4 linked regions of the Diceros bicornis minor genome follow. The protein of the gene in region 2 purifies or fractionates together with the protein of the main gene of each other region. This does not show direct contact. Links are inferred from orthologs where the notes say so. Each region holds a gene or a part of one and is shown on either strand. Other genes may lie near its edges.

Evidence for each region.
Region 1: the proteins of VDAC1 (region 2) and ATP5F1C fractionate together in Homo sapiens (co-fractionation; 3 studies listed by BioGRID, with this or other methods). This does not show direct contact. The link is inferred for Diceros bicornis minor from reciprocal best matches to the Homo sapiens genes VDAC1 and ATP5F1C.
Region 3: the proteins of VDAC1 (region 2) and BSG purify together in Homo sapiens (affinity purification with mass spectrometry; 3 studies listed by BioGRID, with this or other methods). This does not show direct contact. The link is inferred for Diceros bicornis minor from reciprocal best matches to the Homo sapiens genes VDAC1 and BSG.
Region 4: the proteins of VDAC1 (region 2) and ATP1A1 fractionate together in Homo sapiens (co-fractionation; 3 studies listed by BioGRID, with this or other methods). This does not show direct contact. The link is inferred for Diceros bicornis minor from reciprocal best matches to the Homo sapiens genes VDAC1 and ATP1A1.

The regions. Positions count from the first base shown.
Region 1 is NC_080775.1:8,838,420-8,845,911, reverse strand, and holds the start of ATP5F1C (ATP synthase subunit gamma, mitochondrial), read right to left. Parts: upstream 3,018-7,492; 5' UTR 2,994-3,017; coding exon 2,923-2,993; intron 2,891-2,922; exon of another isoform or gene 2,868-2,890; intron 1-2,867. Other genes in the region: KIN (DNA/RNA-binding protein KIN17), read left to right, coding at 3,268-3,381, 7,292-7,386.
Region 2 is NC_080740.1:53,195,619-53,202,786, forward strand, and holds the start of VDAC1 (voltage-dependent anion-selective channel protein 1), read right to left. Parts: upstream 3,009-7,168; 5' UTR 2,935-3,008; intron 1-2,934. UniProt on the Homo sapiens protein: Non-selective voltage-gated ion channel that mediates the transport of anions and cations through the mitochondrion outer membrane and plasma membrane.
Region 3 is NW_026691553.1:241,581-248,913, reverse strand, and holds the start of BSG (basigin), read right to left. Parts: upstream 3,015-7,333; 5' UTR 2,980-3,014; coding exon 2,913-2,979; intron 1-2,912.
Region 4 is NC_080743.1:48,793,593-48,801,096, forward strand, and holds the start of ATP1A1 (sodium/potassium-transporting ATPase subunit alpha-1), read left to right. Parts: upstream 1-4,489; 5' UTR 4,490-4,740; coding exon 4,741-4,752; intron 4,753-7,504. UniProt on the Homo sapiens protein: This is the catalytic component of the active enzyme, which catalyzes the hydrolysis of ATP coupled with the exchange of sodium and potassium ions across the plasma membrane.

The sequences.
Region 1 (7,492 bases), on a different chromosome or scaffold from region 2:
TTTTCACCCCAAAATTTATAGACTATAAGGAGTGACATTCGGACATTATGGTTTTAGGCAGACACTCCGATTTAACTGACACACATTAATATCATATGGAACAAATCTGAATGGCACGCCATAACTGGATGAACCCAGAATGTTTTGGCTTCCGTAAGTGTCCCAAGCAAGAGGTATGAAGTGGGAGGATCTTTTGTGATTCTTTATGCTGTGCACATGCCCTATTTCCCCTGCTTTGAAGCACTCTCATGTTTAACCTTCATTTAGTTCTAAAGATGTCTACCTATGTTACAACTTTACTTTTTAAGTACTATTTGAGTACAAAATGACCATGAGCTGGTCCAAACTCTCTTTAGGTATACAGCCTGCTCTACTGAAGATACAATTTTTGCAAATGAAAAGATAAAGAAAGTTCTGAATCAGCTGTATGTTCTGGAAAATTGCATCATGTCCTGAGAAATCCTCAGGAGATTATTTGAAAACTAGAAACGTATCAAATATAGTGCATGGAAAACCACAGAGATGGTGGATTACCATTATCTACTATGATCATACAGCACTGTTAGCAAAAGCTGGAGAAGGCAGTGGAGGAGGGAGTCAGTGAGGTTGCTAGATGAATGATTTATCATCCAAAGAAATTACAGACAGCTTGAAAGAATTTTAAGGAGTGTATAATGTAAGAATTCAGGAAGAAGTAGCATCTGCTAATTCTTCTTTTTCAGTGTATATAGTTCAATTTACGGCCATTGGTCTCCTATTATAAAATAGTTCCACTTTAGAGAATGTGGAACACCAGCAAAAAGAAATGCATTTTCCCCCAATCTGAAGACAGAAAAATCAGACTCTTTTCCCAAATTTCTTATTTCTATTTTCTTAAATGCTACTTTTTAAAAAGGTTTAATTTCCAAAAATTTAGGGTATTTTACTGATACCCTGAACAATTACAATAATTTCACTATGATTTTAATTAAGCCTAATGTTTAGTTAATGTTAATGTGCTAACCTCCCTGAAACAAAAACTGTAACAATAACAAATTGTTTTTAAAAGCACTTTTAAAAGCTTTCAATAACCAAAACACAACCAAGGAAATGCCTCTTTATGGTTCTGTAAAGGCAAAGGTATTTTTCTCTCTTTCCAAATTAATTCTGTGGAGTGTGAAACATTAAGATGGTTTTAATTTCTGAATTTAAAAGGCAATTAAGTGAATGGGAAGCGAAAGGGCAGAAGAAGCAGGCAAGACATCAGACACTCAGAGATGGAATCAGTGAAAATGCTTTCCACAGTGTAACACTGATGTCTGATGAATATTCATAACCTACTCATCTAAAACCAACATTCCAAAGGGATTAAGGTCAGGACTATGACCTTTATTTGCTGATTGATGTTCCAATTTGGGCCCCTAGGAGTAAGTGTGTCAGACTGAGAGAGAGCTCCTATTTAAAACAATTCTTTGTTGAAAGATCTTCAAATTGTCTTACAGGATGTTAAAAAAAGTTATTTCTCAATATTGACAGGTTACGTTAATGCACAGCAAGATGGGAAGGAAGGAAGGAGAGCTGATGTTTGCTGAGCACCACTGCATGCATGCCAGGAACCCTCCTGCAGAGCTCACTAAGACCATGTCCATTCGTCTACCATCACGTTTTGGCACTTTCCACACTGCCAACTTGGTGCAGGGCAGGCACCCAACATAAATGTCTGCTGAGTGATTAAGAAATGGTACACCCTACCATGCAACTAAGATGACTTCTTCATTCCCATGAATACTCTTTTCCGATATTAGAAAAAAAACTCTAACTTGACATCACATTTAAACACCTCATTACTCTGAAAGTCTTGTCTGTTATAAATTCCTTGCTTAATGAAAAAACAACCTATTTCAATTAATGCTTTATAGTCCCTTCACAGAAAATAGGATACAAAAATCTAGTTTAGTGCTGTAGCTCCTTAGAATTCTCCCTAACCATAAAACTGGGGAATGGCTACACACAGCCTATAATTAATAATCCCCTTAGCGCTGTGTCTGAAATTCTCCCACACTGTCTAGTTTAGAACATTTCATCCCATTATATGGTATCAGCCACCCACCAACTTTTATCTGCTTATTCCTAGGGCTTCTAATATGCATTTTTTTTCGGGAACCCACGTTTAAAATCTTTAAAAGTGACATGGCAGTTAACAGATGACACTTAAGAGTCCACCTCTCTCCTCCTCGGGGCCTTGGGACAACTTCATGACCTTGCAGGGTTACTCCTTCAGCACAGTGGTTTCAAGACAGTGCTAGGTGTCTTTCCTTCCTCTCCAGAAGACAGATTTTTAAGGGATTTTTAAAGTCCCTTTTGCAGCCCACGAGGGCACTTATTTTATTCCCGTGTCCAGCAAAGCGCCTGCTACATCCTCGGCGCTGACCACACGTTCTGGAGGAATCGAGCGGCTCCTGAAGGGTTCCTCCGCTCTGCGCTGGGCCCTTTCAAACTCTGCCCAGCACCGGAGGGTTTCAACGGGCGTCAAGGACATAAGGCACAACTTAACCTTCCCCTAGACCTTGGTCCTCCCCTCCCCCTCACTTCGGGCCCAGGTGAAGACTCCCCATCCTCGCTGCCTGGCACTAAGCACTATTAGCTGAACGAATCCAAGACGGCCCTGAAATTAATTCGGACTAAGGTCTCAACCCCGAGGTCCGGTGACCAGCCCTCGTGGCCCTCACCCCGCCCCGTCTCAGGGACGTGGCGTGACCCCGCTGCCCCTCCAGCCCCTCCGCGCGCCCGGCCCGGCCCCTCCGCGCTTCCGGCAGCCCCGGCCTCCCGGGGCCTCCTCGGGACTGCGGGCCTGGCCGGCCCTGCGACCCCCGTTCCGCCCCACTCACCTCCACCCGCTTCCCCTTCCCCCTGACCGAGCTCTTCCATCCCTCCGGCTCCTACCGCAAGCTGCCATACCATTGCGGCTGCACGGCCCAGGCCGAGAGGCCAGCGACGCCCGCCCGAGAGAACATGGTGCTACCGGCCCTGCTGAAGGTCGGTCAGACAGGCCTCACTGCGCATGCGCGGAGGCTTCCCGGCACGCCCCTAGCGCCCCGCTGTCCCCTGCAGTCTCGCTGCCTCCCGCCAGACGGGGGGAAGCCTCGCGAGCGTTGGGGCCCAGCCTACCGAGGCCCCGCCTCCTTCCGACTCGCGGACGGTATTTGTCCCGCCCACCGCCGCCAGCCCCGTTCCGCTTCCGGTTGGCAGGGCGCTGGGCTCCGCAAAGTTGTTGCTGCGGTGGTCGCGATGGGGAAGTCGGATTTTCTTACCCCTAAGGCCATCGCCAACAGGATCAAGTCCAAGGGGCTTCAGAAGCTGCGCTGGTATTGCCAGATGTGCCAGAAGCAGTGCCGGGACGAGGTAAGTGGGCCCCGCTGGCCCCATGGCGGCGCCCCGTCCTCTCCCAGGAGGGGCCCGCTGATCCAGGCCAAGTCCCTGAGGCGGGGGAGAGGGCCAGGGTCCCAGGTCCCCGTCGTGGGGTCTGCACCGGGCGAGTCTGCTGCTCAACTCAGTAGGGCCATCCTTCCCTGCCGCCCCGGTCCTGGCTGGGAACCAGGGCTCTTTGACAGCTCATTCTTCCCCAGTCTACCCCAAAAAGAAATGGAACAAGAAAAGGTTTTGCAGCTCTCGCAGAAGTGATCCTACTCAAGCTGTCTTAAAAGGGAGGCGTGAATAATTAAGTGCGGGCTCCGGGGCAGTAACAGTAACAATCATCTCTGACTGGACGTGACTCTGAGAGTTGATTAGGATTCACACCTCTTTTTGGGATCAGATGAAGAAGAACTAAGCTCGTGCACACCCGTCATCTAACAAGCATTTATTGAGCACCTACAGTGTGGCAGGCCCAGAGTATTGTGGTGAAGATGCGGACTTGGGGATCAGACCGTCAGAAGTGTGAAGCCTAGCCGCGCCACTTACTAGCTGTGTGGTCTTGGGCAAGTTACTTACCTTCTCTCTGCTTGTTTACTATTCTGCAAAGTGGGAATAATGACTGTGCCTACTTGTAACTTTGTCGTGAGTTTTAAATGAGTGAATTATGTGTAAAGTGACTCAGGGGGTCTTTGGGCAGATCTTGAGAAGCTTTGTATGCTGTGCTATGGAGTTTACACTTTTTCCCATTTTTAAGGTGGATGGTGAAGCACCTTGAGTAATTGAGAGCAGGCTAGTGATGGGATCATATTTTTCCCTGGAGATTGAGTTGGGTGGGGGCAGAAGAACGCTGGGCAACCGGAATAATCTAATCCAGTGTGTCTGCAAGTGAGGGATGAGATATTTTAGGTGGGACTCACATTGAATAACATTGGTACACTTATTCTCTTTCATTTGTCTTTAGTTCTTTCTAGATGAAATTCTCACGCAGAAAACTAGAGACTAGTACAATGAACATCCATGTATCCACTACCCAGGATTTTATCCACTACCCACTACTTAACATTTTAAGGATTTTGCTGTATTTACTTTTTTCTGAATTATTTGATTGATTTATTTATTTTTTATAAATGTGTTCATTTCCCTTATTTTCTTTTTTTTTTAAGATTTTATTTATTTATTTATTTTCCCCCTAAAGCCCCAGTAGATAGTTGTATGTCATAGCTGCACATCCTTATAGTTGCTGTATGTGGGACGCGGCCTCAGCATGGCTGGAGAAGCAGTGCGTCGGTGCGCGCCCGGGATCCGAACCCGGGCCGCCAGCAGCGGAGCGCGCGCACTTAACCGCTAAGCCACGAGGTGGCCCTTTCTGAATTATTTTAAAGTAAATTTCAAACATCAGGATATTTCACTTCTAAATACTTAAATATGCTTCCCTAAGATATCAGGGTGTTTTTCTACATAGCCACAATATATGTCATCAGACATTACAAAATTAATAAAAAATCCTTTATATCATCTGATAGACACGCCATATTCATATGTCCTCAGTTGTTCCCCCAAATGCTCTTTAAAGCAGTTTTTTAAAAACAGGATCCAGTCAAAAGCTATGAATTGGATTTGGTTATTAGGACTTTTTAAAAAATAGACTTTATTTATTTACAGCAGTTTTAGGTTCACAGCAAAAATGGGCAGAAAGTACAGAGATTTCCCATACAGACCCTGCCCCCATAGATGTGTACAGCCTCCCCCACCATCAACATCCTGCAGCAAAGTGGGACATTTGTTACAGTCAATGAAGCTACATTGACACCTCCTTATCACCAAAGTCCATAGCTGACATTAGGGTTCACTCTTGGTGTTGTACATTCTATGAGTTTAGACAAATGTATAATGATGCGTATCCACCATTATTGTATCATACAGAGTGGTTTCACTGTCCTAAAAATCTCTGTGCTCCAGGTTATTAGGACTTCTAATTCTCTCTAAATTATTGGAATAGAACCTACCTCCCCTACCCTCTGCCCCCCTCCCCCTATTTTTTTTCTTGACGTTGACTTGGAGGGATGAGTCCAGTCAGTTATCCTGGAGCATTCCCACTTTCTGGATATGTTGAATTGTTTCCTTGTGATTCTCTTTTGCCCTCTTTCTCTAACTCTTGTAGTTTCTATAAACTGGAACTTAGATCTAAAGGCTTGATTAGATTCAGGTTAAATATTTTGGGGAAGAATGCTTCATAGGTGATCCAGTGTATTTCATATTGCATCACATAAGGAAGCCCCTAATGTCTAGTAGTGCTAAGATGATTAAGTAAAGATAACAACCTGTAAAGTAACATTAGAAAGTAGTATTTTCCCTCTTGCAAGAGCAAGAAACTAGTGGGGTAGTACTTTGAAATCATGCCCCTATATCTAATTTCCCATCAACATTTTGCCTATGTGTTTAGCATCCTTTCCTGAGTCACTTATTTCATTAGGAGTTGCAAAGTGGTTACTTTTCTAATTCTTTTGACATTTATTATTGGCGGCCATTCATTTGTAAAAATGAGCTTTTTCTCATCAACTGGGGCTATGGGTTACCCTCAAATGTTATCCCAAAATACGATTCCTGTGGGAAAGGGAAGATAAATGCTTAATTCTTTCCTTTAACTACCAGCTTTCAGAGCAAGGCACTTGTGGTTGCGGCCTGTTTGCCCTCAGATGTGTTCATGGCCCTTCCCTACCCAGGAGGGCATCCTGGGGGAAGAGAAGTTGACCCCTATAAATTCCTTCCCGTCTTCTATGTCTCAGTATCGGAAGACTGAGGGAGAGAGGAAGGTCAGATCCAGGGTATTCTCCTCCTGCTCATCCACTCCTTTGGATTTCTAGAATTTAATAACATTATTTTGTTTCATTTTATTGACTTATTTTTAATTTATGGAAAATGGGACTGGTTTTTCACTTAGGACACCGGTACCAAGTTTCTTTTTAATATAAGTGTAAGTAAGAGTAATGCACAGGTAGTATACAGATGAGGCGAAAAGAATGTAAGTGGTCTGTGGATGATTAAACATTAGGAAACAAAGCAAGATCCAGTGCTGAAATCTGGACGGTGGCAGTGGGATTGAGCAGAGGGACTGGATAAGGGTTATTAAGAAGGCTGGGTAGACTTAGTGCTGAGGGCAGTGTGGAGGTGCAGAAGAAGGCTTCGAGGATGCTGTCCTCCGCCCTGGCTTGAGTGATTGCATTTGTGATAATGCTGTTCACTGAGGTGGGGAATACAGGAGGAGAGACACATTTTTCATTTCTATTACCAGTGAAGAATCAGGTTGAAATGTTAAGTAGAACAAATACAAGGTCAAAACTTGTATGTTTTTCACAATCATCCGAAGAAGAAGATACAGATTTAGTATGTTTAACCTAAGGTTTATGTAATGTGCAACAATGTATTTTGGATAATGCACTCAAGTAGGGGAAAGTGAGTGAAAAATAGTTTCCTTAATGGAAATTCACTAATGACCCATTTTACTTCATTATATTCCTCGAAGCACCTGCGTAACACTCTGTGTGAAGTAGGGGCTCAATAAGAATTTGTTAAATTGACCAAAAAAAATGAAATCTCTTTTCTGTTACTGAGCCCAGTAATGTTTCTCACTAATGTCTCCTTTCTAAAGCACTATTTTTCTGTCTCTTTAATCTCTAGGTTATTCTTTGATTAGCAGAGTTGCAAATTCAACTTCATAAAAATTTTTTTAAGAACCATAGAGTGCTTACAGCTAGTGATTTGATTATTGTTATTATTTTTTTTTTTTTACAATTTATCATCAAAGAGCAGCTGTTTAGGGTTTGATTAAGTACTTCTATTTAGGACCCATTATGATGACGTAAATCAGAATTTAACTACTGTCTTTACATTTTTGTAGAATGGCTTTAAGTGTCATTGTATGTCCGAATCTCATCAGAGACAACTATTGCTGGCTTCCGAAAATCCTCAGCAGTTTATGGATTATTTTTCAGAGTAAGTAACTCAAAGACATCCTTATCTCATAAGCTTCATTCAGTTGGATGTTTAATAGATACTTAATATTCTCTGTATTGGAGGCTCTGTTTATTCCTTATGTATT
Region 2 (7,168 bases):
CCATGGCCCCGTGGAGTGGCAGCTGCAGTGTGAAAGCACCAGCACTGGAGCTAGCCAGACCCAGCCCTGAATCCCAATTCCACTCCCACTGAGCTGTGTGACCTTGGGGTGCTTACCTCACCCCTCCGTGCTCAAGCCTCCTAACCCCTGAAATGGAAACAATAGCACCCCTCTCCCCAGGCTTGTAGGAAGGTGGATTCAATGTCACACAACACGTCAAGCCCCCAGGAGTGTGCTGAGCAGGCCCTCAATAAAGAATGACTGTCATGATGACAATCACACCTCTATAGTGGAGAAACTGAGGAACAAGAAAGCAACGTGACCTGTACTAGACCCTACGGCTCATGTCAGAGCTGTGTTGCAAGCTCCATCTGCTCTCCAGGACTCTTTCCAGCACAGTTCTGGGTAAAGGGTGTAAGTGCCCACTCACCCCCACCCCCCTGAGAGCAAGCAGTGAAATGGAGGATTGTGCCCAGGCCCCGCTGAGGATCCCACTGGTCACCTTTCTTCAGGGACTACCAGAGGAGTGTGTGGGGAGCCCAAGGCTACAGGCCCTCTAGGCACCCTGAGGGGCAGCCTGCAGGCTTGGGCTGGCTCTCAGCCCCACACACGCCTCTCTCAGTCACGACCACCAAGGACATCACACAGTGAGAAAGTCCATCCAGGGTAAAGTGGACTTCAGTGCCTCAGGAGTATCTAACCAGTAAAGGTGGGGGTGAAGGGCCCTCATTACCACCAGCTTGGAGGTCGTGGTCCACATCTGCATAATGTCCAGCAGGACCAGAGGCCCACAGGCAATTCCTCACCATATGGTCCCCCTGAGCCCCTGGGTTTGTGTCTACAAATAGCCCCTGCCTATAGCCTATAGAACAGCAGGAATAAAACTAAGTAACCAACTGAGAGCAGTCCCCCGTCCCCATCCCCATTTACAGTCCTCCTGTAAACCTGCTCAGGACAACTCCAGCAGAAGCCATCAACCCACCCACCATCAGAGACGGAAGAGGCGCCAGGCCCAAGGCCTTTAAGAGAATCCCATTCGCCCATGTCACCTCCCCTGCAAGCCCAGAAACACCAGTTCAACAAGTTCCCCACAGGACTTGGAAAGCCACAGAATGAAGATAATGTGTTTAAAGCAGTTATTTCAAATTAGGAAACAGTTTGCCTCTCACTGCTCTAGGGCTGCACATACCATTGCAGCTCTTAAATATTTGGGATTCTCCGCTACGTAAGGCTATTATTTTCTGGAAGTGAGTGAGATGCGTGTGTCCCTCAAGAAGGATGTCCAGGATGAAGGGACCATGGCCCAGGCCTGCCGCCACTTCACATGCCCATCCAATCATTCACAAACACTTAATGGGCACCTACTATAAGCCACATGCTGGAATGGTAAAACTACCTTTCTGTCAATAAGAGTCGACTCTTGGACAAAAAGCAAGAGTGCATTTACCCCCAAAGACCCTTTAAGTACCTACTGTGGGCCAGGTGGCTCTACCCCAGGCACTGAAAACAAAGCTGCAGAGGGCTTAAGCCTGACCCTGTCCAGAGGGTCAGTCCAGAGCTGGGTGGAGAGAAAGGAGGCAGGCCCTCGGCAGTCGGCCCCGGCCTTGTCAACAGCATATTAGGCAAAGGAGGAGCCCACTTCCTTCTCTTCTCTGGAGAGGGGAAGCTGGTCAAGGGGATGCGGGCCTCAGGTGGTACAGGCCCAGGCCTAGCCCAGGTCTGCACTCACACTCAACCTCCTGCTCCAGCCTGACCTTGTCTGTCTGTGAACTTAAAGGATTTTTCACGAATTATCTGCAAGTTACTCAACGCCTGGCACACAAATGCTTAATAATAATGTTTAAAATAACAGGGCTACGTTTACTGAACTCTTTCCAGAACACCACGTGGAGCAAAACGGTGTGCAGGGGATGGGCTAGACCCTCCCCAAAGCCTCAAGGGTGCATGCCAAGGTTTCTACAGAGGCCTGCTCCTTGCCAGGCACTGTTCTAAAAGCTTCGCGTTAATCAAGTCATTTTATTTTTCCTAAAACCCAGTGAGGAAGAGGTATAATTGCTCCCGCTCTACAGATGAGAAAACTGAGGTTTAGTATCTTCCCAGCTGCGTGACCTTGGACAGTCACTAGGGCTGCGGCCTCAAATCCAGAGGGCTCTGGACCAGTTTCATGAGCGCACCACCACATTTAGTAAATGAATGAACGATCAAACTGGGAATACTTCCAAAGGCCAAGGAGGCCAAGGCGCTCCCAGAGGGGCCCCCTTCGCCAAGGCCTAACCTCTTGCCCAGGCCCCAGCCCAGGCCCCTGCGGCCTAAGTCGGCTCTCGGCCTGCCGTTCCGCCCCGGAAGGCGCTGGCACGCGCGGACAGTGCCGGGCGCCAGCTTCTCCGGGCGTGGACCGGGCAGGCCGGACAGGACGTGCGCGGCTGGGGGCGCAGGGCCACGGTGGTCACATGAGCTCATCCCCACCGGGACGGTGTGGCCCGCACAGGTCCGAGGGCCAGGCCCGGCCGGGCGAGCGTGGGTAGCGGGAAAGTCCCTGCCTGACCGGCGCTGGCGGGACCGAGGGCCTGAGGGCACCGCCGGGGAAGGTCACCTAGATCTGCAGCCGGCCCGGCCTCCACGCGGCGGCCCGTGCCCTTCCGCCCGCAGGTCCCCGCGGGCTCTGGCCCCCAGCCCCAGGCGCCTCCGGATGTCCGTCCTCCCGCTCTCCCGCCCGGGCCCGCTCGCCGCCCGCCCGCCCGCCCGCCCGCGCGGCCTGCTCGGCCCTCCGCTGACCAAGCAGCCCGCGTGAGCCGCTCCCGCTCCCCCCTCGGGCCCGGCCCGGGGCCCCTCGCCCTCGCCCGCTCCTCCCTCATCTCCTCCCCCTCAGCTCCCCAGGAGCCCGGCCTGCGGCCTGGGACGCAGGCAAAGCCCGGGCCCGTCTCCTGCGCCTACCTTGGAGGAGGCGGCGGCGGGCTCGGCGGCGGCTACGGCGGGGGCTGCAGCGCGAGGAGCCGAGAGAGCGGCGGGGCCGAGGGCGGGGCGGCGCGGACGGCGGCGGCGCGGACCCGCCCCGACCCAGCGCGCCCGGCCCGGCAAGCTCCACCCCCAGGGCCCGCCCGGGACACCGCCCAGGCCGGGCCCCGGGCCGCTTCCTGCTCCGGAACTGCGCTCTTACCTCCCCGGGCTCCTTAGTGCCCGCAGCGGACGCGTGTGCCCACGGGCGTGTGCGGGGGCCCGGGAGTGCCTGCGTGCGCCCGGGCACGGGGCGACGGGGGCTGACGTGCGCACGATGTGTGCGTGCGCAGGGACACGCGTGTCCGGCCTTTGCTGGAAATCCCGCCCGGTTGAAGCCTTCGGCGAGGAGGGGGCCTCTTTCGGTTAGCTGAGCGGTGGCCCGGGGTCCCCTGCGCTCAGAGAAGACACGCGGGGTCCTGGGCCTCCTGCTCGGCCTCGGGGCTGGAAAACAACCCTCCCCTGCTGGGGGAGTTTATGTGGCGGGTGGCGCTGGCCCAGGGCCTAAGCCTGGGTGGACGAGGTGATCCCCGAGTCCCCCAGCAAAGCCCGCGCGGGCTGTCAAATCGGGCTCCGAGCCCGTGGGGCAGTCCCAGGCCCGGCTCGGGGCCGGGGCGCCCGAGGCGGCGCGGATGCAGAGCGGCGGCCACGACTGTTGCTCCTCGGCTCCTGGCTCCTGGTTCCCGACACAGTGTTTCCGGAGCCTCCGATCCTTCTTCACGCCGCGCGCGGCTTGCAGAGCCCCGCGATGGCCGGGGGCGAAGCACCAGGAAAACCTCCCTGTGCGCCGAGTTTGCATTCCAGATTAGCAGACAGTTTGCCCCGTAGCGAAGCTACTAGCAGCCATTTTCGGAGTTTTTGAGAAGTAAAAAAAGTAAATTGCGTTTTGCAACAACGTCCTCTGCTGGGTCTCCCGGCGGGCCGAGGTAACGCAGGTTCCCACCGGCCGAGGGCCTGCCTCCCGCGGAGCTGGGTTAAAGCGTGTGGAGTCTCCCTGCTAGGCCTAAACGGGTGGTCTCCTTCACTGGGTGTCTCTGGCATCGCGCGTGAGGCCCACTCCAAGCCGACTTCGAGAATTAATAAATTCGTGGCTGGATGAAGATTCTGCACATCCTTCGCCTTCGGCCAACAAACGTTCTCCAAGGCTTGAGGCGGCTAAGACCCCGTGGAGGAGGCGCCAGGACACTGGCTCACAACCAGCGGCGGCACAAATTAAAGCAGTAGGCAAGTGGGGCGAGCGAAGAGGCAATCAAGACAGACTGCTGGAAAGAGGCGGCAGCTTAAATGGGAAAGTGGCAACTGGTGTTTCAGTGGGGGCGGGGTGCTGAGAAGAAGGGAGCTTATTCAGGCAGTGCGGGCAGAGTGCTCTGGGCCCTTTGGGGGCTCAGATCTGACTGAAAATGTGAGGAGGAGCCCCTAAATCCCTTGAGGTCCTGGAGAGTGGAGGACCGAAGCTAGAACTCTCCCCAGGCCCCTGAGCTGTTCTATGGCTGACTGGGGACTCCAGGCTTCCCAACCTGGTGGTCCTCACGCTGCACACAAAGGCCCCAGCCCACTCCAGGAGAGGGTCAGGCAGGGAAAGCCACTGCGTCACCCATGAGTGCAGTGAGGCAGAGTTTGGAGGACAGGACCTCAGGGAGGCAGGGCAGGACCAGGTGGCTCTGCGGGAAGATGGGGCTCCAGAAACCTCATACAAGCTAGAATCAGATGCTGCGCCCTGGGTCAGTGAGAACCAAGTGGCACTTAGACCAAATGTCTGAGGTGCTCCCTCCCCTCCACACCTTCCTGCCACCCCCCCTTTCAGGACCCTCCACCTGGGGAGAGTTCCCCATGCCCCACCTGCTCTGAGTCCCTTCTGGGGCTCCCCTAGATGCTGCTTTCAGATTCATCACCTCAGCCCCCTTGAGTCACTTACTGGCTGTGTTACCCTGGGCAACAGGCCTAACAGCTTCAACTTCAGAGGGCTGTTGTGAGTTTAAAATGGGACACTTAACAAGTAAGCACTCAGAAAACAGTGAAGAAATCCGGTGGGACATGGAAGCCCTCAGGCCCTAGTGTTGACCCCTCAGCACCACAACCCTAAGGCAAGAGCTGAGCAAAGGCAGCTTGTCATACCAGGCTTACCAACCCCACCCCCAGCCAAACGGCCACTCTGTCTGCCACAGCTGATTGGCCTGGGGTGGACACTGGCCCAAGACCAGCCAATCAGGTCCTCTTGCAAATTTGACCTAAGAAACCCATGTCAGGTCTAATAGTTTTTCTTTGGGGGAATGACTCTTCTCCTCCTCCTCTCAGTCCACAAGCTTTGATGGAACTGTCTCCATCCCTGACTCCAGGGCCATTCTTGGGGTGGCCCTGTGGCTTGGCCTGACCAATCAGAGCATTGCACTCCCCTGGCTACAGGGATGGGCCAATGAGACCCAGTCAGAAATCCTGGGGCTATTGAAACACCTAACCGCTTTCCTGAAAATGAAGCCAGCCCCCAAAAGAGAGACAGAGATTAGGTCCTAGGGACATCATGCTCTGGGATCTAGCCATGCCTCAGGCAACTCCCTGTGCTTTGCAGCTGTCTGTGCTGAAAAATTCACTTTTTACTTTGTCCAGTTCTGATTAGGTTTCCTTCCAGGTCCTTACTCAGTTCACCTCCTCTCTTCAAGCAGAACAATGTACAACATCCAGGAAAACTGAGATTTTTCTTTTATTTTTAGTATTGGAGTGGGTGACCAGTGTAAGAATATTTCATTTAGGGAAGTTCCTTCTTATATCTAACTTACAGCCATAGGGCTTCTACTATAGATATTTAGCAAGATGGAAAGCAGCCAATCACCTTCCTAAGAACCTATGTTGAAACACTTCCCACCCTTCTCTTTTCAGGGCCAGAGGTCCCTGTACCTCTTTACTGTCTTTGCCAAATAATCAGAACCTGAAGATGAGGTCTATGAAAGTAGAAATGGAAGATGTAATTTACATAAATTAATTTTTAAAGTGAAAAACATTCTGCTTGTAACCAGCATCTATGAATTGGATTATAAAGCTGAATTGTCATAAAACCTAACCTTTCTAACCAATTTCTAGACTAGAGTCTGGTTAAGAGGAGTCAGGATTGAGGATTCGTGATCAAGAATCCCAGGCCATAGTCCCCACATTGTGCGCTGACACTCATCACACAGGGAAGGACCTGGCCAGGCCTCCAGGTTCTGGGTGACGTGGAGAACAAAAGTCAACCAGGAAAACAGAATGGAAACCATCCCAAGATAAACACAATAAAAATTTTTCTCCTGCATATCCAAAAGCATGAAGTGTCCTAGATCTAAAATAGTTCCAAGAAGTTCCAATATCATATCCATGTTTTTTTTTAATTTTATATACATCCACACAGAAATATTGGAAAGAAAGTATTAGTGAAAGTTGTGTTTCAATTTATGGAACTATGAGTGATTTTTTTCCTTTTGCTCTTTCTGGATTTCCCATATGTCCTTTAATGAGAATATATCTTTACTATAAAGAGAACTTTTTTTTTTTATGAAAGCCAAACGATCAGGAGAGGTTGTATAAACTGATACAATCTGGAAAGCAATTAGGCAATGTGTAGTAAGAATCATAAACCTGCTCCTGGGACCTATGCTAAGGCAATAATCCTGAGTATGGGGAACGCTAGCTTCAGGAAGGCACACAGCAGCCCAGTGTGGAATGCAGCCTGGTCTCCAGCTTGAGAAAATGGAAGCACATCCTCTCTGTGGAGCTTTCATAGCCTTGGGGAGAGAAGGTCACAAAGACTTCCTGTGGGGACTACTTCTGCTACAACGCTAACTGAAGGCAATCATGTATCAGTGTTACTGCAACCACACCATTAAATACTATAGAGGCAAACTATGGTAGACAGAATAATGACCTCCCAAAGACAGCCACGTCCTAACCACCCAGTCCTATAAAGATGTTACCTTACATGTCAAAAGGACCTTATCAGATGTGATTATGTTAAGAATCTTGAGATGGAGCCAGTAGCCTGGATCATCCAGGTGGGCCCAATGTGATCACAAGGGTCTTTATTTATTTACTTTTTTTTGTGAGGAAGATCAGCCCTGAGCTAACGTCCATGCCAATGCTCCTGTTTTTGCTGAGGAAGACAGGCCCTGGGCTAACATCTGTACCTATCTTCCTCCATTTTATGTGG
Region 3 (7,333 bases), on a different chromosome or scaffold from region 2:
ACAGTGGTGGCCCTCACTGGGATCACCACACAGACACTTGCCGCTACAGGTAACGTTATATCTGTGATGTGGAAACACCGCTGGGACAAGGCCAGCGGGGGTCACAATGGAAAAGGCTTGGAACAACGCCCTCCAGCCCCCTCGGCCCCGCCCACCTCGGGGAGCACCCCCCAGAATCTACAGGGAGCCTCCACCCCCAGAGCCGGGAGCAGGGCGGGCGCCTGGCCCTCCGCCACCCTGGAGACGTGAGAACTCGACTCGGGCCACATGACCAGAGCCCACGTTCTCAGTAAAGTCACCTTCATCTAAAAACAGCCACCCCTCCCGTGTGTCCGCTCGGGGCAGGGCCGGGCTTGGGCAGGAGGCCTCGTGGCAAACAGCCCCGGAGCGCTCAGGACGGCCGTCGGGCGCCCCTCCACCCCACCCGCCGCAGAGCGGGAGCCCAGACGGGAGGGGACGCCAGCCAGGCTCTTCCCCTCCATGCCTCACCTGAGGACCAGAGAGACCACGGCACCGGCCCGCAGGACCCAGCTAGCAAACCGCTGCCCGCCCCAGCAGGACGACGGCACCCTGGACAGGCCCGGGCAGGGCCAGGGTCTCCCGGCAGGGCGTGAGAAGCCGAGTGCCAGCCTCTCGGCACCCGATGCTCGAATGGAGGAAACCGCCCCTGGCAGAGGCCCCGAAGAAAGCTCCTAGGACTGACCCGTCCAGGAGAGGCGAACACTCCACTAAGCCCCTCACCCACCCCGGGAGAAGAGGCCGGCACCCCGACTCTCAGATCCCCCCTGAAGCCCCTGGGAACGGTGGAGCCGTCACAGGGAGAAGGGGAGGCCCGGGCGCAGCCCTGGGAGAAGCAGGAGGCCCGAGGCCTTCCCACCCGCTGGGCCATCGAGGGCCTCGTCCAGAGGGCTGAGGGGCCTATCTCCCGCGCGCACCTTGCCCGCAGGCTCCTATCTGCCCGCAGGCTCCTATCTGCCCGCAGGCTCCTATCTGCAGGCAGACAGCGGGCAGGCTGGCCGCAGGCCAAAGGCCCCGGCCCGGAGGCGGTCAATAAATGGTCATTCTGATCATAAGGAAGGAGGCGTGGACCGAGACCTTAAAGTGGGTCAGGGGTAACCGGGTGAAGCGTGTGCCACAGCAGCCCCTCCCAGCCCTGCTCGGGACAGCCGCCGGAGCCCGGACCCTTCTGGGCTGCACTTTGTCCCCTCCACGCCGGGCACCATAAATCTTTAACCCAGAACCGCAGAACGAGTCTCGGCACAGGAAGGAGTCATCCCTCTCCGTCGTGCTTTCTTCTGGAAAAACGGTCTTATCACACGTTCCCAGCCGCTTCCTCCACACCAGACGTCTGGCCGCCCCCACCTCGGCCCACGCCCGTGAGGGCCCGGGGCCCAGCCCGCCTGAGTCTGCAAGCAGCCCTCTGCGCTCCGGCAGCACACGGCGACCTTGAACATCTCCCCTCTCGACCCAGGCTCAGTTTCCACGCCGCAACAAGAGTAAGGGGCACCAACACCACCTCGTTCTGGGCCCCGAAATCAGACAAGACCAGAAGAAGCAGAGCGTGCGGGCCCCTGCAAGGGGTCAGTGTTGGGGCGGACACGGGGCAGGTCCCAGCGCGGCCCACGGGACCTAATCCCGGGAGGAATGACAATCCCTTCCAGCTCCCGGGAGCGGCCGCTTCCTGAGCATGTGGCTCCTGCACCCACTTGGGGACAATACCCACTTTCCAAATGAGAGCCAAAAGCCCCGGGGTGGGGGTGGGGCTCTCCACTGCACCCCTCCCCAACACTCCCAGGGCAGGGGCCCCACTCCCTAGCTGCCTCCCCAGGCCACCAGGCTCCAGCTGCTCAAGGACGGGGGGTGGGGGGGGGTGGGGGGGGGTGTCCCTTCCCTGGAGAGATGCGTGGGGGTGCCTCCAGATCCTCTCCCCAGGAGTCCTCATCAGGGGGTCAGGCCAGTTCAGGGCTCCTCCCCTCCCCCAATCAAGAAAATCAGACTTCACTCCAGTTCTTCCCTAGTCAGGCCCGTGGGGCCCCCTAAGCACAGATATCCCCCTAGCACTGCGCCCAAGGAGCCCCCGGGGTCCCCCCAAACCCCAGGGAGCCCACCCAGCACTGCTCCCCCCAGAACTTTCCGCAGCCTCTCCTGAGCCCCCTCAAACCCTGGGACCCCCTGCAACACCCCAAGTCCCCCCGAACCACGGGAACCCACAACACTGCGACACCCAGAACTGCCCCCAAGCCCCCCACAGTACCTCAGTGGGCACCCCCACATCCACACTACCACTCCTGGGATCTTTCTGGTCCCCTCAAAACCCAGAATTCCCCCAGAACTGCCACACCGGGTAACCCGCTGGGTCCTCCCAAACCACAGAAACTCCCCCGGCACTGGGATCCCCCGGAACCCGCTTGAGCCCCCCAAACCACGGGGACGCCCACATGCCGCCCCCGGGGAACCCGCCGCGTGCCCCCACTCCCCGGCCACCCCCTGCACTGCCGCCCCCGGGCATTCCTCGGGTCCCCACAAACCCCGGGACCACCCCCCACACTGCTGACCCCGGGAACCCCCCAGGTCCCCACAAACCCCGAGGACCCCCCGGCATGCCGTTCCCGGGAACCCCTCGGGTCCCCACGAACGCCGGGGAACCCCCCCGTATGCCGCCCGTGGGATCTCCCCGGGTCCTCCCAAACCCCGGGGACCCCCTCCATGCCGCTCCCGGAAACCCCCCGGGTCCCCCCAAACCCCAGGGACCCCCTCCCCAACTGCCGCCCCCGGGAACTCTCAGGGTCCCCCCAAACCCCGGGAAGCCCCCCGCATGCCGCCCCCGGGAATCTCCCGAGTCCCCACAAACCGCGGGGACCACCCGGACTCCGCAGGCCCCGAGCCCGCCTCCCCGCACCCGCTGGCCTCACCTTGCCCGGAGCCACCCTCGCCGCCCAGCAGCACGAGCCCCAACACGACCACCAGAGCGGCCGCCATGTCACCGCCGTCCCCGCCGCAACCGCCGCCGGCGGCGCTATAAGAACCGGGCGGCCGGCCGGGCGCGCGCACGCAGGGCGGCGCCGGGGGCGGGGCGGGGTGCGCAGGCACGTCGGCCGCCGTCTGCGCACGCGCACGGGTGCACGTACGCACGCGCTGGCCCGGGCAGGCTCGCGCTACGGAAGCCGGGGCGGCAGCACCACGTGACCCGGGCAGGCCACGCCCCGCGGCCTGGGGCGTGGCCGCGTTGCTAGGAAACAGGGGGGGCCCGCGCGGGCGGGGCTGGGAGCCTGGTTTCCCTTCGTTCTTTCGGAAACGTTGTTGGAACGGAGCTGTGCACCCAAAAGGGGCTAAAATGCTCCATTTATACTATGTGTGTTCTGTCACGACACGAAAGAGAAAGAAGCATTAGAGGAGGCGATAGAGATCCCTGTGAACAGGTGCACGTGTGCCCTGGGGCGGGGGGCTGCCAGATTTAGCAAAAAAAACACCCGGACGCAGTTAAGTTTTAAGTTTAAGACAGAGAACGAGTGACTTCTTAGTGTAAGTACCCGTGCAATATTGGGACATACTTATTCAAGGGAAGTATGGCTATTTATCTGAAATTCAGGTGTAACCGGCTGTCCTATATTTGCCTGGAAGACCTACCCTGGGGTTTGTCTTACAACAAATACTTTAAAAAACGACAATTTCAAGCAAAAACAGGATCATGTAATCTTCGTGACCCTGGGCTAGGCAGTGGTTTCTTAGACGTGACACCAAAAGCGCAAGCAACAAAGGAAAAAATAAATAGGACTTCATCAACATTACAAACTTTTGTGCCTCAAAGAATACTAAGAAGAAAGTGAAAAGCCAACACACAGAACGGGAGAAAATATCGGTGAATCGTATCTGATAGGGACTTATATCTATAATACATAAAGAACGCTGACAACTGGATAAAAAAAAAGACGCACGACCCTGTTAAAAAACGGACGAAGGATCAGAATATACGCTTCTCCAAAGAAGACACAGAAACGGACGACAAGTACATGAAGAAGGGCTCAGCATCCTGAGCCATCAGGGGAATGCAAACCACAACCACAGTGAGACAGCAGTTCACACCCGCTGGGACAGCTCGCAGCGAGAACGCGGAAGACAGCAAGTGCTGGTGAGAAGTGGAGACACCGGAGCCCTGTGCACAGGTGGCGGGATGGAAGATGGTGCAGCCCCTGCGCAGAACATGGGCAGGGCCTCAGAAGGGTAAACCAGAGTTACCATCTGACCTGGTAATTCCACTCCCCACAAGAACTGAAAATCCACGTCCACGTGGAAACTTGTACGTAAGTGTTCACAGCAGCATGATTCGTAACGGCCAAAAAGCAGAACAGCCCAAATGCCCATCGATGGATGAATGGATCCACACAACGGATCCATCCACACACTCGAATACGACACAGCCATCAAAAGGAGTGAAGCCCTGACACAGCTATACTGTGGACGGACCTTGAACACACGATGCTCAGTGAGAGAACCAGACACAGAAGACCACACGGTGTGTGATTCCATTGATGTGAAACGTCCAGAACAGGCACATCCACAGACAGAGAGTGGGTTCATGGTTGCCAGGGGCTGGGGGATATGGGTGAGGAGTTACTGCTGATTGGGTGGGATTGCTTTCTAGGGTGATGAAAATGTTCTGAAATTGAATGTGGTGATGGGTGCACAACTCTGAAATGTACTAAACCCACTGAGCTACAGACTTTACTTGTGTGAATTGTATGGTGTGTGAATTATCTCAATTAAATATAGGGTAATGTGCTTTAGATAAGGGGTCAGGGACGCGAAGACATACAAGGTGACAAGAACAAGGAAACAGTGGCCACAGTAAGGGGTGAGCGGTGTGTCTGGGAACAGCCTGTCTGGCCCGGGGAGGCAGGTCCAGGGAGGAGGGTGGGCAGAGCCGGCAGAGTCCCAGCTTTGGGGGGCTTTGGAGGAAAACGTGGGAAGGATGTGGCAGAGGGGCCGGGACTTGCTGATGAAGGGGTTGTGGGTGAGGACCTCACTCCTGGGGCCTGGAGCCTCAGAACCGCCCGGGAGCCAACCAGAAGCCCCAGCCCCAGGCCCATCCGGCTTGTTGAGGCCGCACGCAGGGGGGTTGAGAGCTACGTGCAGAATGGGGGAGGAAGGCCGCCAGCTGGCTTCAAAGCCCCTGGCCTGGGCAGGATTTCTGGCCCCCGCCCCGCCCTCGCTGGGCTGGGCTGCGGACAGATCTCATGGGAAATATCAGGGCTGCCGGGAAGCCTTTGTTTACGGAACAAAGCTGTGCCTCCTTGAAGACCCAGTTTTCTGTCCCCCTCCCCGATCCCCGCTCTGTTCTGTCCTGGCCTCACCCTGGGGCAGGCGGCTCCCTGTCCCCCTCTGCCTCCACGGAGAGGCCAGCCAGGGCCACGCGGGCTGGGTGGCCAGATTTACCAAACGGAAATACAGGACACCCAGTTACATTTGAAGTTCAGATAAAAAAAAAAAAAAATCAGTACCTTTTTAAGTTATCAGTAGGTCCCACGCAGTATCTGGGATATACTGATCCCCAAAATTGCCTGTCCTACGTCTGAAATTCAAATGTAACTGAATTTGGCGTCTTCCATCGGCATCTCTGACCCGGTCCCCTCACCCTTGTAACTCCCCTCATCGCACAGGTCACTCTCTGACCTCACGTCCATCCCGGGCCCCTTGCCTGCTGTCCGCCTGCCCGTGTGCAGGGCAGGGACAGCCAGCCTGGCCTGGGCCCTGTGCCGGGCCGCCATCTGCCCCCTGCGGGTGCCCCTAATTGGCTGTGGGCGAGTGGACATCCAGGACCCTCGCTGTCTCCCACCCTGGCCTCCGGGGCCTGCACCCCCTCTGGGAGGGCCCGGATTTCAGATCTGGCGGCTTCCTCTGACAGCAGGAGAAGGAGGCAGCTGTCTCCTCTGGCCTGGATCTCCCTCGTTCCAGCAGCTCTTGCAATCGAGGCCGAACCCCTCCCTCGGCCTCGCCCCCACTGACCCCTTCGGCCTCGGCGCCCTCCACCCACCACGCCTTTGGCCCCAGCCTCACTGGCAGTGTTTCCTGCCTCTGAGCCTTTGCCCAGGCTGTGCCCTTTCCAGGTCACTGCCTCGCCCCTTCCCTCCCTGGCAGAGGCCGTCTTGTCCCGAGGGCCTCACACTTGAGACACCGGCCGCTGTCCCATCGCTGGGTATCTGCCCTGGTTTGCTCACCTTGTGCTTTTTCTTATAAAACCTTTCAACTCACAGATGGGAGGAGAGACGACGACGTAGGATTTTCATTCTCTGTCACACCTCTGTCCCTTGCTCGAATGTTCCAGCTAGTTCTCCAGGCGTATTCTTCTGGGAGCTTGGAGATGCAGCCCGGCCCCAGGCGGTGACGGCTGGGAGAAGGTGGATTTCATTCCTGGGCCCCAGGGAGCCCGGGGAGGGATGTGAGCAGGGAGGGTCGTCCTCTCCTCTGACCTGTGTCATCGGGGGATGTCTCGGCCGCCAGGGGAGAGGCCCTGGGGGTGGGAGTGGACATGGGCAGGGGACAACAAGGCAGCTCCCAGACCCTGTGAATGGGACTTTATTTGGAAAAAGGGTCTTTGCAGATGTAATTAAGAGTCTTGATATGAAGTCCTCGTGGATAAGGGTGGCCCTAAATCCAATGACAACGTCCTTATAAGAGACAGAAGAGGAGCGACAGACACAGAGAAGCCATGTGATGACAGAGGCCGAGACTGGGGTGATGCGGCCACAAGCCCAGGACGCCGGGGCCCCCAGAGGCTGGACGAAGCAGGAAGGACCCTCCCCTGGAGCCTCTGGAGGGAGCCCGGCCCTGCCACACCGTGATCTTGGATTTCTGCCCCCAGAACCATGAGGGTGTAATTTCTGTTGTCTTAAGCCACCCAGTTGTGCTGTTTTGTTACGGCCCAGGAGTGCCCGCAGGCGGGGACCCGGGAGACACCCGGCCAGCCAGCCTGGCACTGGCGTTAAGGGCGGGCGCGTCCGTCCACCGAGTGCCACCACCACCGCCGCCCTGCGAGGGGGTCACGGGAGCCACCGCCCTCCCCACCCCCGTCCATCACCGGTATCTTCCCCAGAAAATGCAGACAGTCCCTCTAGATGAGCCTTTGGGCTTTGGACTTCTGCGCCCGTGGGTTTGTAGTCTTTTCTAGCGATGCACTCCAAAAAATAAAGATAAGACAAGACAAAGATAAATCCGTATAAGAAAGGAAGATAACCAGTCTTTCCCCAGCCTGGTCCACCAGGCTGATAACCGAGGGTTTCTTTTCGTTGACGGTTATTCATGAGTGTCAGGGACCCTTGTCGACCTCTGGTCGCTG
Region 4 (7,504 bases), on a different chromosome or scaffold from region 2:
GTGCTAGAAGAGAAGACCAAATCCTGGCTCTTAATTTCAGGATCCAGTGTAAAACACTTGGGGAACAACTAAAGAATCCTCTATAATTGTTTTATTTACAAAGACTGCTATTAATAAGAGCAAATTATTTAAGTGGCAGTTGTGTTAAAGGGATGCTGAGGAAAAGACTGAGGATTTGACCCTGTGTAGTTTATAATAGCCCCCAGGACAGGCATCAAGTAAATGTGACTTTTCTAAATTTCCGGAGGCAAGACCCAAGGTCTTCAAAAATCATTAACAGAAGAAAGTATGTTTAGAAGAGTACTAAAGAGTCTTAAAAGTAAATTAAGAAGTAGAAAATGGAATGTGGGAGGAAAAGTTACAAAGGGTTCAGAATTATTTAGCTGACAGATTTTTTTTGGGGGGGTGGGAGGGGTGAGGAAGATTGGCCCTGAACTAACATCTGTGCCCATCTTCCTCTATTTTGTATGTGGGACGCCGCCACAGCATGGCTTGATGAGCAGCGTGTAGGTCCGTGCCTGGGATCTGAACCTGCAAACCCTGGACCGCTGAAGTGGAGTGTGTGAACATAAACACTATGCCACCAGGCCAGGCCGGGTCCTAGCTGACAGATTTTGATGGTTAGTGGTGTGCCTAGAACTGTGCTTTTAAAGTGGGAGATAATATGTCTGTTGCTGGACAGGAAAAAATAGATTTGCAATGGTGGGATAGACATTGGGCTAGGAGGAACTTTGGGATGGTGAGACGAGTTGGCTTTAATGCAGTAAGAATGGGGCAGCTAAGTGACTTTCCGGGGTACCTAAGAAATAGTAAAGATAAAGATGCATGCTTAAGATTGTTTCCATAGTAGCTCTAGGGCAAGCTGGAGCAAAGACTTCTGTCCTTCTAGATCCTTAGCTCATTGATCTCCCAAATTTTTACTTCTTATGGAAAATGCTAACTTGGTGTAGGCTCCAATTCATATTCTAAAGCCCTTAATTGCAATGGCGTGTTTATTCAATTCAGCAAGTACTTACTCAAAGTGCTAGGATTCTTGGCTCAAAATACTGACTTGCATCATATTTTTCATACATCTGCTGACTCTATTCACAATGAATGGCCCAACCCTCCATGCTTGTGTCAAATCCTCCTCGAAGCCATCCACACTTGGCAGCCGTGGGGTCTGTAAATGCTGAGTCTCTGGGTCAATCAGTTTAATTGTGCCCCAAGCTAGGAGCTTAAAAAGAAAGCTGATGGGATAAGAGGCAGATAGATCGGAGAGGCAGAACTTGCCCCATCCTGTCTTCTGGAAGTTCTGTTTATCCCCTGCACTGTGCTGGATGTTCGAAAAGGTGCACAAAAGTTCTACCACTCTCCTAGAACTATCTGGTGCCAATCACTCTCTGGGCCTGTTTCTTCATTGTAAAATGAGCAGTGTTTGATCTCTCAAGTTCCATTCAGAAGCCTCTCCCAAGAGGAGGAAACAAGTCTTTCCCAAGAAAAGGGCTTTTCCCACTTTGGTCTCCTATGTTCCAAGGGAATGCTCTTGCATCTGAGATTTCTGCACCCCAGGCCTGGTGATGCCGTCCCTTTGTCTTAATTCCACAGGCCTGTCCAGGGCTCCATATTACAACCAGGCAGGGATTCTTTCCATCACTCTTTCCCACAAAAGTTTGCAACTCCTGCTTCTTTACCATATTTTTTCTCTTCACCTCTTACAATTAGCCTTCAAGTCATGGCAATAACCTTTACCCCTGAAAACACCCCTGAAGACTGCCCAGAAGTGCAGAGACCATAGCACTTGGGCGCAGTGCTAAGAGAAAGCATCAACTTTAGAGGATCAATACCAAGGCCCTTTCTGATATTCTGAAATGTTTTTGTTGAATTCTGTTTTTTTCAATAGGATTGAAACATAAAATGGCATTATCAAATACCTTAAAAATGGAATGGGATTTGCCTCTGGAGGTGGGATCAGGTGGGTCAGAATAGGGGTGGGGGAAGTGTTTGTAGATCCATATAGGGCATTTCTATAAAATAATGGTTCTCTGCCTGACGATGACACACACAATAGACTGATGAAGAGTGGAAATAGAAAGGCTCTAGCTGAGGTCTTCTTGGTTATAAAAGAGGAGAGCCATGTGGAAACCCTCTGTATTTGTGAGGACAGCAATGTTAATAGCAATTGCTATTCTCCCACCAAAACTTTCTTGGTGCCATGCTCAGAGACCAAACTTCAGAGCTAGGAAGATGGTTCCTGTTTTGTAATTTTGAGGCCAGACTCCCCCAGTCACTGGTTGAGTCCCTGAGTCTCCAGTTTCCCACTCGGTAAAATGCAGCTGAAGCCCTTTACCTTCCCGACTTGTGAGAATCCAAGAGGATTTTATATGTAAAAGTGCTAAGTGGAGGCAAAGGCAAATACAGATTTTAGTTAATATTTCTTATACTTCTGTGTCTCTTCCTTACTCTGGAACATAGCTAGAACTTTCAGGTCCTCCTGGAAGGACCTTCAGCAATCGTCAGCTGCCAGGTAAACAGCTCTAGAGACAAAGGGAAATGCCTTGATCTATCTGGTTATATTTTTGAATGAAAAAATGATAATTTTACTTATGAAGGGAAAAAAAGGGGATCACCTGGCAGGAGAAATCGACATTGTTCAGACTTTTGCTTTCTACATTTTGTTGCTGTTCTTGCTGCACTTTTCCTGTTCAGACCAGGGCCCAAGGGATGATTAATCTTAAACAAGCTAAGGGACCTTTGGCAAGCGAAAGCCTCCTACAGGTTAGCAGTAACAGGGGCTGTACCAGCATATAAAAAAAGCATTTTCTAGACCATTGGGGATAGAGCCCTGATAACACTCTACAAATGCCTTCTGTTGAATTAGCAGTGGTGGGCACTCTGCTCTGGAGTTGGGGGCTCTTTCTCCAGCAGTCACAAATTCGAATCCAGTTTCCAATTCCTCTGCTCTTCATGGCCTGGACTGATTTAATCAAGCCTGAAGATGGCTGGAGGAGGCACCAGCCTCTAACAATGGGTTCTTGGACAAGAGGAAGACACACATGTAAGAAACAGTTTCTTCTAAAAAGGAATAAAAATCACCCTAATGTTCTAACTGACAACACAGTTGCTAGTTTTCCCTCCTTCCTTTTCTTTCCTGCCTTCTTTCCTTCCTTTTTTCCTTCCTTCCCCATTTCTTTCAAGCTTCACATCTTTATTTGTTCATGTTAAATTAATAGAGTTGATAGGGCCAGCTTTAAGTTGCTTAGGAAGTTATTTTCCTTATTTCTTGTAGGAATTCCCAGAGACTTGGAGCGACTTTCTCAGAGACGTGGAGCGAATCTTATGTTTTCCCAAAGTATACTTGACTTCCTGAAAGCAAGCAATAATAGTAATACTTAGCTTTCTAAATGTTGGAGACCTTCAGCCACTTGCAGCCTCTGCTAAGAAACATAAACTACAATGGGAGGCAAGACCCACAGCGCAGCCGGGCCAGGGCTCTCTGGGGGATTCCTGGCCTTGTCATCACACTCCAGGCCCAGGTCCCTCAGAGCACCCAATTCTGCGCTGAAAGAGGCGCTGCTGTGCGAGTGGGAGGCATGGAGAAGCACCAGACAGGTCCTCAAACCTCTCTCCTTCGAGTCTGTCCCTTTTGTTCAAGATACGCATTCCTTTACATTTCAAGTGTTCCTCCCCTAAAAAGCGAATCCCCAAACTGGACAAGCAGGTTTCATTCTCACTGTAGCTTCAATGAATTCATTGGACACCCTTTGGATTGTCATTTGGGGTCTTGAAGGAAAGCAGGGGGGCGCTTGGGACCTCGGGCAAGGCTCAGACCCATTCCTCCTGGGGCCGAGCGGGAAGTGGGTAACGCGGATCCCAGACTGGAGGAGGCATTCGGGAGGGCACCAAGAGGCTGGGGAGGCCATCTGCAGGTGGGCACGGGGCCTGGACTCTGCAGGAAGGCGGAGTCCCTCAGGCGGGCGCCGGCTGCAGTCAAGCCCGAAGCCCCCCACCCCCAACCCCGGCGCGTCCTTTAGTCGCAGAGGAGCTCCCTGATGCACTAGAAAGGCCCCTCAGAGCGAGGTTTCTGTTCTGGGTCCGCGGAGATTCGGGGAGCCCCGTTCCGAAAACGTATCCGCACCCACTGCGGACCTTCCGTGCCCTACAAAGCAGGCCGGTCACGCCGAGCGGCGGGAGGAGGGGCGCGGCAGCTCCACGGCCGCCGAGGCCCCGCTGCCCAGCCAGTCGGTGCGCCCCGCAGTGGCGTGGCCGGGGCCTCCCGGGCCGTGGGCACTCGCGCCCCGGGCCCGGCGCCCTCCTGCCGGGAGCCCAGACCAGCGGCAGCCAGCCCGGGGATGGGGTTGGGGCGGGGGCGGAGCCAGGCCGGCGGCCGGTGTCAGGTTGCTCCGGCAACGGTGACGTGCCGCGGCGTGGGCGGGGCCAGCACGCAGGTTGCATATTTTAGGAAGCGAGGCGGAGGCGCGGGCTCGAGCTGCGGCGGGGTCTGGGGCGCAGAGCAGCGGCGGGAGGAGGCGGACACGTGGCAGTGGCAGTGGTAGCAACCCCGGCGGCGGCGGCGGCGGCAGTAGCAGCGGCGGCATCGGCCCGAGCCGCCGGCCGTCCTCCCTCCTTCCCGCCCCACAGCAGCCCTCGCTCCCTCCTCTCGGCTCCCCCGGCCGGGCTCGCTCGGCCGGGAGCTCTCTCCTCTTTTCTCTCTCATTCTCAAGCGACAGGACCCGGCGCCGGGCACAGACCACCGCCACCATGGGGAAGGGGGTGAGTGTCCGGCGAGCCGGGGAGGGGGCGCAGGGAGTCCTGGAGGGGAGGAGGAGAAAGAGGAGGAAGTCAGGAGGGCGACTGCAGCCAGCGGGAGGCGGGGAAGGAGGAAGCGGCGCGGCGCGGAATGGGTTGGCAGAGCGGCGAGGCTTAAAAGACGACGCACTTTGGAAATGGAGGGAGCGCAGTAATGGGGGACGGGCGGGCGGGGGCAGGGAGCGCCGAGGGGACGGAGGACGGCAGCGCGGGGCGGTGCGCAGCCCCGGGAGAGGGGCTGCGGGCCCCCGGGTCGCAGCGCGCCGCGGCCCGGGGCTCCTGGAGGCGGCGCTCGGGAGCCGCAGGGCCGGGAGGAGGGCGAACGGCCGCCGGCGGCCGCATCCCGAGCCCGGCTCCCCTCCCTCCGCCCGCTCTCACCTCCCATCTCTCGCCTTCCTTTTTCCCTCCGCCTTCCGTGCCCGGACGAAAGGCGTGCTCCTCCCCTTCCCCTGGGGCGCTCAGCCCGGCCCCCTCCCGGGCCGCCGTTCCCGCCGCGGCCCGGGCTTCCGACGCGGGGGCGGCCTTGGGGTCCGAGGCTCCTTCTCCTGCAGGCGCGGGGGCTTAGCCAGTTCCCCCGTAGAGGCGGCCGCCCTCCCTCCAAGGCAAAAATTAGTTTCCCCTTACTGCGGAGCCGGTTGGGCGGGCTGGTGCCAGAAAGGGTGTGTCTTCACTGCCCTAAGATGGCCTTTAAGGTATACTTTTGAGAGCTTTGATGGAACGCTGGCCATAAACACAGGATGCGCCCGGGCGACTGGAGCGGTCATTCTGGCGGTGGGGAGGGGTGTGTAAATTTTTTGGAAGGATGAGCCTGGAAGGAAGACAGGCTAGCCCCCCAGGGCCTCTGGGTACAATAAACCCGAAAAAGGACTGGAGGTGGCGGGCAGTACGCGGTGGTAAGAGTGCCAGCTCGCGGAAGACGGTTCCCGAAGGAACGAGGGGTCTCCGGGACAGGAGAGTGCAGGAGCGCTGTGGGAATACCAGAACAACATCTCGTTCCTACAGTTCTGTAACTCGGAGCTGTGATAACCCATAGCCAAGGCAGAAGACTGAGTCCCGGACCCCACCGGGGCCAACGTCTAGTTGAGAAAAGTTTATACAAAATAATCCCCAAAGTATCAATTCGTGGGGTAAAATGACGGGGCCATGAGAATACCGGTAAGAGAGAATCCACTCCATTATTATCACCAACTCTTGCACAGTGCCTGGTGCTTAGTAGGCCTTTGAAGGCTCTTAGGGCTCCTCAAGGTGGAGTGAGTGATGGGGAAGAGGGAGGGTTCATTCTTTGGGGACTCCAAATGGATTTTGAAGGAGGTACTTGAAAGGCTTGGACCTGGTGGGGAGAGAGGAAAAAGTGGGAATGTATGACTGGTATCTTTTAAAAGCACAAAATGTGGAGGGAGGGCTGGCCCAGGTCAAGTAGCTGAAGGCAAAGAGCTGAGTGCCAGCCTCTGTACTCCCCAGGATGGAAACTGGGTTAGTGGCCTGTGCTTGTACCACTGTGTCAAACACTAGATCATTCTCCTAAACTAGCTCTTTAAAGCTCATTCCTTTATTTCTCCCCCTTCAGAAAAAAAAAAGTTTGTTTCCAGAGCTGGACCTTACTGATTTGGGGGGATGTAGAGATCACAGGTATGTACCCAAGGCCTAGGAAGGTGAAGTGACTCGCTGAAGGTCAAATGGTTAGTTAATGACACACCAGACGTCCCTAACCAGCCTGTGATTTCCCCAGCCTGAGCACTCACGCACTCCTTGACGTTGCCTTATGTGGAGAACTCTCAAGTTATTCTTCAGATGAAACTGGGGTATTTGTGAGGTTGAATTAATGGACCAGAGAGATGTTTGAGTAAGTTATGTGTATGTGTCTGTTATGTCTCTTTCGTAACCACATACATGCATAGTAGTGGTAAAGATAGCAACACACCTGGGTTGTGGAGGTTCAACCAAGATGTCTAATGGATCCTAATAAAATGTTCAGTGGCTAGCAAACACAAAATTGAATGACAGCTGGGTAACACGGGATGCTATGCTGCTTATCTGCTGGGTTGTAGTCAGTATTTTGGGTACTATGATAAATTGAACGTTAAGGGGTATGTGTGTATAAGTGGTGGTGATTCTCCCAGGATAAAGTTACCCCTTTTGTCCCCAGTGACTTACTGTGATAGTCCAAATGTTCAGAAGGATATTTTATGCTGAGATGTTGGTATTTTTCCACATGGGGATTAAAATGTGGGTGGAGTGGTGACTAAGGCCCTGCTGATAATTGGTTAACGAGGAAGCCTGTGCTGGCAGCTCATTTTTAAGGTCATTGTTAATTTCTTCCCCTCCTCTTCCCACTATCATTGGGGGCCTAGGTTTTAATGATATTTCAGGTGATTTTATTTCTCCTTAAAAATCTAGTTTCTAAGCTTTGGGTAAGAAATTGAAAGAACAGCTCCTGCTGAATCATTCCTGGATGAAATAGGATTTTGTCCTTTTTTTCATAGTGGGTGTTTTTGCCAATGACTTGGCTTAAATCCACAGCCAGGCCTACCACCCACAACTATTTCCCTCACCAAAGGTACACACGAAAACTTTTCCTTTTCTTAAGTTTACAAAAGATGGGGGGCGGGGGGAGGACGGGGGCATGTCACCAGGTCCTTCCCTTTAGTTCTCCATTGTTTGAATATTAACTTAGTTACTTAGAAAATAAATCATAGTTTATGGGTAGTGACTTAAA